Linked DNA regions of Saccharomyces cerevisiae S288C. Changing the gene in region 2 together with the main gene of any one other region gives a genetic interaction. Each region holds a gene or a part of one and is shown on either strand. Other genes may lie near its edges.

What was found.
Region 1: mutations in DAL2 (region 2) and YFL051C together harm fitness more than expected from each alone (negative genetic interaction), as found in Saccharomyces cerevisiae (one large-scale study listed by BioGRID).
Region 3: mutations in DAL2 (region 2) and AYT1 together harm fitness more than expected from each alone (negative genetic interaction), as found in Saccharomyces cerevisiae (one large-scale study listed by BioGRID).
Region 4: mutations in DAL2 (region 2) and FAA4 together harm fitness more than expected from each alone (negative genetic interaction), as found in Saccharomyces cerevisiae (one large-scale study listed by BioGRID).

Annotation. Positions count from the first base shown.
Region 1 is NC_001138.5:29,514-32,109, reverse strand, and holds YFL051C (uncharacterized protein), read left to right. Parts: upstream 1-1,569; coding exon 1,570-2,052; downstream 2,053-2,596. Other genes in the region: ZNF1 (DNA-binding domain containing protein), read right to left, coding at 2,481-2,596.
Region 2 is NC_001141.2:409,015-412,355, forward strand, and holds DAL2 (allantoicase), read left to right. Parts: upstream 1-1,792; coding exon 1,793-2,824; downstream 2,825-3,341. Other genes in the region: DAL4 (allantoin permease), read left to right, coding at 1-1,361; DCG1 (Dcg1p), read right to left, coding at 3,022-3,341. UniProt on the Saccharomyces cerevisiae protein: Utilization of purines as secondary nitrogen sources, when primary sources are limiting.
Region 3 is NC_001144.5:14,091-17,680, reverse strand, and holds AYT1 (acetyltransferase), read left to right. Parts: upstream 1-1,608; coding exon 1,609-3,033; downstream 3,034-3,590. Other genes in the region: S-adenosylmethionine-homocysteine S-methyltransferase MHT1, read left to right, coding at 68-1,042.
Region 4 is NC_001145.3:758,251-762,462, forward strand, and holds FAA4 (long-chain fatty acid-CoA ligase FAA4), read left to right. Parts: upstream 1-1,556; coding exon 1,557-3,641; downstream 3,642-4,212. Other genes in the region: YMR244W (uncharacterized protein), read left to right, coding at 1-67; COA6 (Coa6p), read right to left, coding at 267-581. UniProt on the Saccharomyces cerevisiae protein: Activates long-chain fatty acids (LCFA) by esterification of the fatty acids into metabolically active CoA-thioesters for subsequent degradation or incorporation into phospholipids.

The DNA.
Region 1 (2,596 bases), on a different chromosome or scaffold from region 2:
TAAAAAGCGCAGGCGTTGTGCGCTTGGTTTGTGTAAGTTAACCAAAAAAGTTAAAAGTATAAGTCTTCTGCATCAAACTAACAGAAAAAAAATTTTTTTTACACTTGAAATGGTTATTGTCTGCTTATTGTGAAGTACGAACATCCTAACAAACGTTGTATGTTGCTTTCTGCGTTTTTCCTTACAGTGCTAGCGTAGAGAATATGAAAAAGAGGGAAATTAAGCAACTGCTTTTTCTATGATTTACCACTGTGAGCCCAAAACTTAACGTGCACCAACACGTGTGCGGCAACCTGGCTGGCCTCTCAATGTAGAAGTAACTGGTTTTCTTCTTGCCCTTTATTTTCTTGTTTTTTAGAACCAATCTCGAGCACTTGGATAATGCAAAACAAATACAATCTATGTCTTCCACACCATCATTTTACTATGCCTGCCACCATACATTTGTCTTTTGCACCATATCTTCATAACCTGTCACCTTGAAACTAAAAAAATATTCACAATGGTGCATGCTTGAAGCACAAACTAGATTAATTTGTTGAGTAAATCATGTGGTTCCAAGGAACAAAAAAAAAAATGCATTACATCACGTTCCTTGCTCTGTATCTCTTCACCTGCAATTACTCAAAAGAAAAAAAGAAATATAATTTTCCTTTGAGCACCCTTGGTAACTTATCTAAGAACACGCGATGTAATCGAAATTTAATAACCTAAAAAAGAAATAGAGATCGGTGACGTTTGACGCTAGCCAATCTCCACGAGATTTATCTGGAAGGGCATCACCCGTCAAAACACTAAGAAATTTGACACCTTATTTTTTTTTCTCCGAAACGTTCTGAGACGTTTCTTTTTTTTTCAGGACGCCACCCTAAATCCGAAAAACCTTACTTGGCATTAGTGTTGTAAAAATTTCTTTTTTCCATCGTGGTTCTGAAAAGCTTGCAGAAAAAAAGTTCGAGAACGTTTTCGTATGACTTATTAAGCTGCCCTTGAACTTGCCTTCCCTCTTCTTTACTATTTTCAGCCAGGGACAGAAATAAAGCAAAATCGTTTAACTTTTATGACCGTAACAGGTAACAATATCTGCTCAATTCGGTTAGTAAAAAAAAAAAGGTTATCGTAGGTTTACTATTTTCACATCGGTGCATAGAATCTATACTCTACTTCCTTTGGAGGGAATTTAGTAGTGCTCGATTAGCAGATAACAGCGCAGGGTTCTATGTAGTACGAAGCACTATCAGGTTTTTTAACGTACGTGAGTTGTTTTTTGTTTCTAATTTTTGGCTTGCCTGGGATAAACGGTGCCCATCAAATTATTAAGACCTGGTGAAAAGAGCGTACCTACATGGGTATCGGGGTTTTTGCCAGAAAGAGCTTTAACTGCAATTGATGCCTACCGGAGATTATTTTGATATCAAAATGCAGGAACGATATCTACTTCCCTAAAGCAGAAAACAAAACATTTTTTTAAAAGTCTTTCTTATATAAAGGTAACCTTCATTTCATGATAGCCAGATGATAATCTTAATGTAACAATTGGAGGATACCAGCATCCCTCCACACCTTCAAATGTCTATACCCCATTCCGTATTTTCGGCACTCTTGGTCTTCGTGGCGCTAGCTACTACAACCTTAGCCAGTACAGAAGCTTGCTTACCAACAAACAAAAGGGAAGATGGTATGAATATTAATTTTTATGAGTACACAATAGGCGACCAAACCACATACTTGGAGCCTGAATATATGGGCTATGAATACTCCAATACAAAGAAGTTAGGTTCCGTTAGCGGACAGACCAATCTCTCCATATACTATAGTCCGCCTTGTGAGAGCACTCCTACCTGTGTGACTTATGCAGTTTTGAAGCGTGATGAGGATGGATATGATCCTTGCGGACCTCTTTATGAAACTAAAAAACGTGACACTGAATACTGTGACCCAAATACTGCCTATTGGAGTTCTGATCTTTTTGGTTTCTATACTACTCCAACTAATGTAACTGTGGAAATGACAGGGTACTTAATATGGAGTATGGGCAACCGACGCCGTTGAACCTCTCCTTGGAGATTCTGATAATTTTATGACCATGACTTCTCGTGCACCTTACAGGAAACTTTAATGGCCTGATAAGTACAGCTATATTGTGATCACAATTATTAAAAACTAACTCATTTCATCTATAACCAAGTACAAATCGCACGACTATCATGACGATAAAAGCGTATATCCTTGATTTAATTCACATCACAATCACCCCCCTTGAAAAAAAAATAAATTTTTTTTCTTGCTATAATAGCATAATTGTCCACAAGTTCACTATTAGTGCTATCATTCTTCCCCACTGCCGCAAAATTGCAAAGGAAATAATTGTTTGCCCTGCAGGAACCATATACTAAAGAAGAAATAGATGCTATTAGCCTCTTCAACTGTCCGTAATCACTACATCTTGAAAGGTAAAATGCAAGTAGCAATGTGTTTACTTAAGGAAGCGCATCTACATCTTCTTTAGAACCATCTGTCGATTCAAGCGGATTAGAAAGAGGAAGCGTGATAAGCGCACACTGACACTTTGTCGTAAACTTATCAACTAATGTGC
Region 2 (3,341 bases):
CCTCATTTGGTATATTCTTTTCTATGTGGCCGATTATAAATCGTGTCGTGATGGCTATAGTATGGTATGCCGTGCAAGCCTGGTTAGGTGCAACGCCCGTGGCACTGATGCTAAAATCTATTTTTGGCAAGAATCTGGAAGATAGAATCCCAAACCATTTTGGTTCTCCAAATAGCACTACTTTTGAATTCATGTGTTTCTTTATATTTTGGGTGGTCAGTATACCATTTGTCCTAGTGGCTCCTCATAAAATCAGGCATTTATTCACAGTAAAAGCAGCTTTGATCCCCTTCGCAGCCTTTGGATTTTTAATCTGGGCTTTGAAGAAATCGCACGGTAAAATTGAGTTGGGGACGCTGAATGATTATTCACCTCATGGTTCCGAATTTTCATGGATATTCGTTAGATCCCTAATGGCCTGTGTTGCTAACTTTGCCGCTTTGATTATCAACGCCCCTGACTTCGGTAGATTTGCCAAAAATCCTCAAGCGTCTTTGTGGCCACAATTGGTTGCCATCCCATTGTTCTTCGCCATAACATGTTTGATCGGTATCATTGTTACTGCGGCCGGTTATCACTTATATGGGGTTAACTATTGGTCACCACTGGATGTACTTGGTCAATTTTTGGAGACCACTTACACCAGAGGTACTAGGGCTGGTGTGTTCTTGATTTCTTTTGTATTTGCCTTAGCTCAACTGGGTACAAACATTTCTGCCAACTCTCTGGCATGTGGTGCTGATATGACGGCTTTGTTTCCAAGATATATTAATATTAGAAGAGGTTCTTTATTCTGTGTGGCAATGGCTCTATGTATCTGTCCATGGAACTTAATGGCCAGTTCAAGTAAGTTCACCAGCGCTTTGGGTGCTTATGCAATTTTCCTTTCCAGTATTGCTGGTGTCATTTGCGCGGATTATTTCGTAGTAAGAAGAGGATATGTGAAATTAACACATTTATTCCTGGCACAGAAGGGTTCCTTTTACATGTTTGGAAACAAATTTGGTGCCAATTGGAGGGCCTTTGTTGCGTATATTTGCGGTATCGCTCCAAATTTACCAGGTTTTATAGGTGATGTTGGAGCTCCAAAAATTACGGTTTCAGAGGGTGCAATGAGGTTATACTATTTAGGTTATCCGGTAGGTTTCTTTATTAGTGCGGTGATATACCTCATATTATGTTACTTTTTTCCTGTCCCTGGTACTCCCGTAACCAATTTTCTGACAGAGAAAGGATGGTTCCAAAGATGGGCTTATGTTGAGGACTTCGAGCAAGATTGGAAGAATGAGTTACGTAGGGATGACCTCTGCGATGACACAGTCAGTATCTATGATGGCACCGAGGAAAAGATAGTTTACTAAATAAAAATCCCAATTTATTCTCTTACCAGTAGTGATCAGGAGAATTGATAATTTCTTCAAAACACCTTAATATTCGTTCTGTGTATTTTTATGTACCTTTCTTAATCAAATTTATCAGCTTCATACATGCATTCCCGTCTGAATAATGTACTGATGATTAGCTAAACCGTCATCAACCTACCAAACTTGCGCTTGTTTGAGCCTATCAGAACTCCGGATAATTCCGACATCTTATCTTTGACTCGAATTAGCGATAAGATAAAAACACAGGAACCACAATGAAATTCAGCTGGAAGAAAAGTCTAAATTATAGACACATTTTCTGAGATCAAATGCTATAAAGGAATGGAAGTGCATTTTGCTATGATATGGGGAAATTATGAAGCCGATCAAACAATTAATTGTATCTAATCGGTCTCTTCTTTAGAAAAATGAAGTTTTTTAGTTTGGCAGATGAGGCAGAATTTAAGTCAATAATCATTTCAAAAAACAAAGCAGTAGATGTTATAGGATCTAAGTTAGGTGGTCAAGTGGTTTCTTTTTCAGATGAATGGTTTGCTTCTGCTGAAAATTTAATTCAGCCAACTGCTCCTATAAGGGATCCTACCAGATTTGTTCATTCAGGCGCATGGTACGACGGCTGGGAAACACGAAGACATAATGAGATGGAATACGATTGGGTTATCATCAAGATGGGAGTCGCTGCTGCCCATATTATTGGTGGTGAAATTGACACTGCGTTTTTCAATGGTAATCATGCACCATTTGTATCAATAGAGGCGCTCTATGACGAGGGCGAAGAAGGTAATATAGTGGAAGATGACTCGCGTTGGGTTGAGATTGTTGAGAAATTTGAGTGTGGTCCTTCGCAAAGGCATCTTTTCGTTAGAGGCAACGGCCTTACTAAAGAAAGGTTTACTCACATCAAGCTGAAGATGTACCCCGATGGAGGAATCGCCAGATTTAGATTATACGGAAGAGTTGTTCCTCCAGAACTCAAAACGAAGGATCATATAATTGACTTGGCTTATGTTTGCAATGGTGCTGTCGCTTTAAAGTATTCTGACCAACACTTCGGTTCAGTTGATAATTTGCTACTGCCAGGTCGAGGTCATGATATGTCGGACGGCTGGGAAACCAAAAGATCGAGACAACCAGGTCATACTGATTGGGCGGTAATTCAACTGGGCAGGGAGTCTTCTTTCATTGAGAAGATTATTGTTGATACGGCACACTTCAGGGGGAACTTCCCTCAGTTCATTACCGTGGAAGGTTGCTTGAAGGAGTCAGAATCAAGTGAGAACACTGGTGAAGGAACATGGGTAGAGCTAGTTGGTAAGTCAAAGACGGGGCCTGACAAAGAACATGTGTATGAAATACGTAAGAGTATAAGAGTCTCCCATGTCAAATTAACGATTATTCCAGATGGAGGAGTGAAAAGAATAAGAGTTTGGGGGTACTGATAAATACTTAACTACTGTATATTTTAAACCAATGCACTCTTGGCACTTTAAAAGTAAAGGTATAAATGTAGTTAAAAGTTTTTGTTTTGATAATTGAATGTTTTCATTTCGCTATCCCCACGCTACTTTATTTACTTCTTCTTCTTCACGACAAAACATTAAAATTTACACTCTATAAAAAACAATCATATTTCTATTTATTTTTGTGAGTTGACAAATCTTATCATAGTGATTAGAATCTGTAAACCGATCTCAATCGTGTCCAGAAACAGCGTGCCATCCCTTTGGAATGTTTTCGCCAGTTTATTTTGCAAACCCGAGAATCCTGCACAACCTAATATTACAATGTCTGAATCAAGCTTTTTAATATTTTCGCGATATATAATTTCTGCTATCTGCTGGAAATTTTCTGGACTATGTAGGTCGAGGACCTGTAAATCAGTAGATACCGTACCTTTCCATAAATTTTTGTTAACTGTATTCCCTGTCAAGAATTTCGATTCCACAGAGTTATTCA
Region 3 (3,590 bases), on a different chromosome or scaffold from region 2:
CAAGTTGTAGAAGAAATCTGAATCAGCAACTTTTAGTGTGCAACTTGAAAAAGTAATCAAAAAACAGATGAAGCGCATTCCAATCAAAGAACTAATAGTTGAGCACCCCGGAAAAGTTCTTATCCTTGATGGTGGACAGGGTACAGAATTGGAAAACAGAGGCATTAACATAAATAGTCCGGTATGGTCTGCAGCTCCTTTTACGAGCGAATCCTTTTGGGAGCCATCTTCTCAAGAGCGAAAGGTGGTAGAAGAAATGTACAGAGACTTTATGATTGCTGGCGCAAACATATTAATGACAATTACTTACCAGGCAAACTTTCAAAGCATATCTGAGAATACCTCGATTAAAACTCTGGCTGCTTACAAGCGTTTTCTCGATAAAATCGTGTCATTTACTCGTGAATTTATTGGTGAGGAAAGGTACTTAATCGGGAGTATTGGCCCATGGGCAGCACATGTATCCTGTGAATATACTGGTGACTATGGTCCCCATCCTGAGAATATTGATTACTACGGCTTTTTCAAACCCCAGCTGGAGAACTTCAACCAAAATAGAGATATTGATCTTATTGGTTTTGAAACGATTCCAAATTTTCATGAGTTAAAGGCTATTTTATCCTGGGATGAAGATATTATTTCGAAGCCCTTTTATATTGGGTTGTCGGTGGATGACAATAGTTTGCTACGAGACGGTACCACTTTGGAAGAAATTTCTGTCCATATAAAAGGCCTCGGAAATAAAATTAACAAGAATCTCTTATTAATGGGAGTTAACTGTGTCAGTTTCAATCAATCGGCATTAATTCTTAAAATGTTGCACGAGCATCTACCTGGCATGCCTCTGCTAGTTTACCCAAACAGTGGAGAAATCTACAATCCCAAAGAGAAGACATGGCACCGGCCGACTAATAAGTTGGATGACTGGGAGACCACGGTTAAGAAATTCGTTGATAATGGTGCGCGCATTATTGGCGGTTGTTGTAGAACGTCTCCTAAAGATATCGCCGAAATTGCATCAGCTGTAGATAAATACTCCTAATTCAATTTCTTTTAACAAATATCTTGTATCTACAAAACTAAAAGCAGTGTATATACGTCAATGTGCGGTCCTCAGCAGAAGGTTATTTTATCTTGATCAAATAGAAAAATCATTAGAACTTTTTACTGCCTGCCCTATTTTGGTTAATTTGCACACATTTCAGTGCATATTTTTCGCCAATCCGTAAGTATTTGGAGGCACGTCCCGGACTAAAGAGGATATTCTAGATACAGAGCTTCAAGTGCTATATACGGAGGAAGATATAAAGATAGTGCCAGCTTGAAGTATCACGGTATGCATTTCTATCTTATTCACCATCAAAAAATACGTGTACCCCCTTGCTGTGGCATGCTAGAATGCAAAAAATGATACATAATTTCAGACCACTTAATCTCATGGTTTATATACAAATATGAAACGTTTTGCAGGTAACTGATGGTCTCTGAGTGATGAGAGTTTCTATTCCAATAACGTTAAAGCTTTTACAGTGTATTTATCAAGATTTTAATGTTTAAGACGTGCATAATGACGGACGTGACTATAAATTTCACTTTGAAGGTAGATGGATGTTTAGAGTCAAGATCATCTCTCAGAAACGTACAAAAAGTGTACAGATGCTAGAAAACGATCAACTTGATATTTTGGGACAACAACCTTCGCTATACAAACTATACACTCAAATATGCTCTATCTACCGTGTACCAGATCCTTCTGCTCATGACCATATCGTAAATACCTTAACAAGAGGACTTGAAACATTGGCTAAAAATTTCCAGTGGCTAGCAGGAAATGTCGTAAATGAAGGTGCTGACGAAGGTAACACTGGTACCTACAGAATTGTCCCGTCAGACAAAATTCCACTTATCGTCCAAGATCTTCGAGAAGATCTGTCTGCCCCAACAATGGATTCGCTTGAAAAAGCTGACTTTCCTATCTACATGTTAGACGAAAAGACTTTTGCGCCTTGCATGACTATCAATCCACCTGGAAACACTATAGGTATGGCCGCCAAGAGTGGGCCTGTATTTGCAGTTCAAGCAAACTTTATCTCCGGCGGCCTCGTCTTAACTATTGTCGGGCAGCACAATATTATGGATATAACAGGACAGGAAAGTATCATCAACTTGCTCAATAAATCTTGCCACCAAAAACCTTTCTCTGATGAAGAACTGCTCATTGGAAATATAGATAAAAGCAAATCTATTCCTTTGTTTGATGAAACTTGGGAACCCGACACCACGCTAGTTCATGAAATAGTGGAAACCTCTAGAAATACAAGTGGAGAGGAAAAGGAACAGTCTTGTTCTTCGAACTCTACTTGGGCTTATGTTGAATTTTCTGCTATCTCATTGCAGAATCTGAGGATTTTGGCAATGCAGACATGTACTTCTGGCACAAAATTTGTCTCCACTGATGATATCGTCACTGCTTTCATCTGGAAATCAGTTTCTCGAGCCCGTTTATCTCGACTTAAACCAGAAACGAAATCAAATTTAGGGCGTGCTGTGGATGTTAGAAAACGGCTAGGACTCCCCGAAACGTATCCAGGGTTATTAGTCAACATGACCTTTAATACAGGTTCCCTGAAAAGCTTGGATCATAAAAGTTTGGGCGTTCTTGCATCACAGATTCGCAGGAAGCTAGACCCTAAAGTCTTCGATTTGGCCTATAATACATGCGCACTTGCTACGCTCCTTAGCCGATGCCCGGACAAGACTAAGGTTTCTATACCTCAACCAATTGATACTTTATCTGGAATTATGGTCAGTTCGTGGGCAAAAGTCAGCCTGTATGACGTTGATTTCAATCTAGGGCTTGGGAAGCCCAAGAGTGTACGACGGCCGCGCTTCATTTCCCTTGAGAGCCTAATATATTTTATGCCTAGATCCTCCAGAGGTGAAATGGTGGTTGCTCTTTGCCTTAGAGATAAAGATTGGGAGTGCCTGAATGCGGATAAAGAATGGACAAATTATGCTACACATATAGGATGATGATATGTAATATATTACCAATAGGCCACCTTGTTACGTAAGTCAATATGGCATGCATTCATTCATTATAGTTAAAAAAAAAAAAATAGTAGGAAGTATTCAAATATAGATAGTTTTGTATAGTTTTGTTATTTTTTTAAAATCTTTGTAAATCTCTACATTACACAAATGACTTTTATGTTTAAAAGAGATGAGCTGCGTTACATCGTAGCCTTCAGATACGTTAGCAATAATAAAAAAATGAATAAATATTTACTACAATTGAAACTGCCACCTGTTTATCATTTTTCAATAAGGAGATGAACTAGGCCATCAACAATTACTAACACGCACACACGCACTACTACAACTACTTGATTTTGAATTATATGATACCAAGTGCCTATGATTTACTTAATAACAACGCTCACTGTATTGTTTTATTATCGAAATATAAGACGATGAAATTGAAGATGAGAAGTGAACCACTCACACCATTCCGCCAAAAATCACATTAAAATTTCAAAAAATTACTTACGCGGATACAGAAACCCCCTTCGGCAGCTCTTTAGATATCA
Region 4 (4,212 bases), on a different chromosome or scaffold from region 2:
AGACGTTATTACCACAACGGTCACCGAGACCAAGTACAAGACAGTCACCGTCACTGCCAAAACTTAGCGCGGTTTTTTCTACCTTCCCTTTTTTCATCTTTTTGTTATATATATATACAGAGACACTCATGCGAATTTTCGCAAAACGAAGAAAAAAACATAAAATTTTCGTTTGTATCTACATGACTATCCTTTAATTATTACCTTTCTGTCAAATGTTTTATGGGAATATATATGTTAATATGAGCCAATAACTCACTAAAAACTCACTGATTTCGTTCCCTCTGTTTAGCTTCCTGCTCGATTCTCTTGATGGTCTGCTCTCTCTTAAAGTCGATGACCCTCTTCTCCTTGAAGTACTTGATCCAGCTATGGGCGCAATTCTCCTCAAATTTTTCATTTTCCACCTTGCAGTGCGACTTTATACTCTTGCTATTCTTGGGGTCCATTGCGTCCAAGATGTCTGCCTTGTCCAAACACTGGAAGAATGCGTCCCTGGACTCCCAGCACAACTTTCTCTGTGAACGGGTATTAGGGGGTTGTGATTCCTTTTTGCCACCATCAAATGAAAATAAGCCCATCGCTATATTACTACTATTCCTTTCTGTATATTCGTGTATCTATGTTCCTGCGCAGCGCTACAATAGTACCCGTCTATGTATGTATGTATGTATGTATGTAGGCGAATCTTCTCCCCCATTCTACAAAGCAGCACCTACCACCGCAGCACCGTTTCACATGTCCGTCTCTTTTGTTCAGCTCAGCTACAATCGTCAATCGCACTTTCTTCCGCGCGGGCGAGCCCGGTTTTGTTGGATTTGCTCAGGTGCCAATATACCATCAAGGAACGGACAGGGACCTGACAATACAATAGGCCATTTACATCACAATGCACAGGGACAGAAATTTATACACGATAACAATACCAACTAAACAAAAATATCTCCCGAGCCGATGCTTATTCCGCGGGTTCGATGCCGAAATAATTGTTGCATACGCTTTATCCAACACGATGGAGCGTGTTGGGCGCTTAAAGAAGAGACTCACTAAACTGTTCGGCTTTTTGGCTGCGCGTCTTTGCCGTTTCCCAACAAAAAACAATCATACTTAGTAACAAGAAAGACAAAAGCGCAAACCGAACCGCCCAGCTCAACCATCTTCGCCAAGTAGCGGCAAACTTATATAAGCTCCAACGATGTCCCCATCAATTAAGAACCCTCGATTGTCGGCGATCTATTTTTCTATTCTGGGTGTTTCTCGGCCTTCGTTCATCTCGTTCTTTCTACTCTTAGCCCTCATCTTTCTCTTCTGCATTCTTTTCACCTCATTAAGAACATTCGCGGCGCCGCTTTACCCCAACAAAAACAGCCCATCTTTTGTTCTACCTCTTTCAGATAAGGCTCAACAGATAGACAATAACTGATCATTCTTTCTTTTGTTTGCAACCCCTCTGAGTTGACATAAAAGCGAGAATACAAAAGAACCAGCATTAGTAACACATCATTTTTTTCTCTGTTCTTCACTATTTCTTGAAAAACTAAGAAGTACGCATCAAAATGACCGAACAATATTCCGTTGCAGTTGGCGAAGCCGCCAATGAGCATGAAACCGCTCCAAGAAGAAATATCAGGGTTAAAGACCAGCCTTTGATTAGACCCATAAACTCCTCAGCATCTACACTGTACGAATTCGCCCTGGAATGTTTTACCAAGGGTGGTAAGAGAGACGGTATGGCATGGAGAGATATTATAGATATACATGAGACGAAAAAAACCATAGTCAAGAGGGTGGATGGTAAGGATAAGCCCATCGAAAAAACATGGTTGTACTACGAACTGACTCCCTACATAACCATGACATACGAGGAGATGATCTGCGTAATGCACGACATTGGACGTGGGCTGATAAAGATTGGTGTTAAACCTAACGGTGAGAACAAGTTCCACATCTTTGCCTCTACTTCTCACAAGTGGATGAAAACTTTTCTTGGTTGCATGTCACAAGGTATTCCTGTGGTCACCGCGTACGACACTTTGGGTGAGAGCGGTTTGATTCACTCCATGGTGGAAACAGATTCCGTCGCCATTTTCACGGACAACCAGCTGTTGTCCAAATTAGCAGTTCCTTTGAAAACCGCCAAGAACGTAAAATTCGTCATTCACAACGAACCCATCGATCCAAGTGACAAAAGACAAAATGGTAAGCTTTACAAGGCTGCCAAGGATGCTGTTGACAAAATCAAGGAAGTTAGACCGGACATAAAAATCTACAGTTTCGATGAAATTATTGAGATAGGTAAAAAGGCCAAGGACGAGGTTGAATTGCATTTCCCCAAGCCTGAAGATCCAGCTTGTATCATGTACACTTCTGGTTCCACTGGTACACCAAAGGGTGTGGTATTGACACATTACAACATTGTAGCTGGTATTGGTGGTGTGGGCCATAACGTTATCGGATGGATTGGCCCAACAGACCGTATTATCGCATTCTTGCCATTGGCTCATATTTTTGAATTAACCTTTGAATTCGAAGCGTTCTACTGGAATGGTATCCTAGGGTACGCCAATGTCAAGACTTTAACCCCAACTTCTACACGTAATTGCCAAGGTGACCTGATGGAGTTTAAACCTACCGTAATGGTGGGTGTCGCCGCAGTTTGGGAAACAGTGAGAAAAGGTATCCTGGCCAAGATCAACGAATTGCCCGGTTGGTCTCAAACGCTTTTCTGGACTGTCTATGCTTTGAAAGAGAGAAATATACCATGTAGCGGCTTGCTGAGTGGGTTGATCTTCAAGAGAATCAGAGAAGCAACCGGTGGAAACTTAAGGTTTATTCTGAACGGTGGGTCTGCAATCAGCATAGACGCCCAAAAATTCCTCTCCAACCTTCTATGTCCTATGCTCATTGGATATGGGCTAACTGAGGGTGTGGCTAATGCCTGTGTCCTGGAGCCTGAACATTTTGATTACGGTATTGCTGGTGACCTTGTCGGAACTATTACAGCTAAATTGGTGGATGTCGAAGATTTGGGCTATTTTGCCAAGAATAATCAAGGTGAATTGCTGTTTAAGGGTGCACCCATCTGTTCTGAATACTATAAGAATCCTGAAGAAACTGCTGCGGCCTTTACCGATGATGGCTGGTTCCGTACCGGTGATATCGCTGAATGGACCCCCAAGGGACAAGTTAAGATCATTGATAGAAAGAAAAATTTGGTTAAGACCTTAAATGGTGAGTACATTGCATTGGAAAAATTAGAATCCATTTACAGATCAAATCCTTACGTCCAAAACATCTGTGTCTACGCTGATGAAAACAAAGTTAAGCCTGTCGGTATTGTGGTCCCTAACTTAGGACACTTGTCTAAGCTGGCTATCGAATTAGGTATAATGGTACCAGGTGAAGATGTCGAAAGCTATATCCATGAAAAGAAGCTACAGGATGCCGTTTGCAAAGATATGCTGTCAACTGCCAAATCTCAAGGCTTGAATGGTATTGAATTATTATGTGGCATTGTTTTCTTTGAAGAAGAATGGACTCCAGAAAATGGCCTTGTTACATCCGCCCAAAAATTAAAGAGAAGAGATATTCTAGCGGCTGTCAAGCCAGATGTGGAAAGAGTTTATAAAGAAAACACTTAAAGGAAGACATAGTTTTTTACTTTCCCCCCTGCCCTTCATAAACACTACGTTTCATTTTCTAAGAGCATCAATTTGCAAACACCTGAACTACTTGCACAATACATAGTTTCTTCTCCTACAGATACAGTTAATAATTAATAAATAACATTACACATAAACATGTTTAAGTTTCATTTCAGCAAGACAAGATTGACATTATTAAGCGTGATCTAAACTATGAATTTCTCCCGGGTATGAAACTACATTCTACTATTGATTTTAATAGATGAGCGATTAAACGGGATATTTGAATTTATGACTTCTGTAAACCATCGAATGCCCCAACTTTTAGTAATCAAACATGCACCGAAAACAACCATATCAATCAATGTCTTGCTTCATTCTTGATTTCTCATCTCTTTCTTTCCTTCGTAATTTCACCTTCTCCCTCCGCTCCTTTTATCGAAGAAACATCGTATTACAATTAACAACGCATTGCACTATAGTACACCAAGTTTGAAAATAAAAACCTCGCCCACGTTCATTTATGCAACAAGAAAAAAACTCCCATCACAGTTAGAAAGCAATGAAT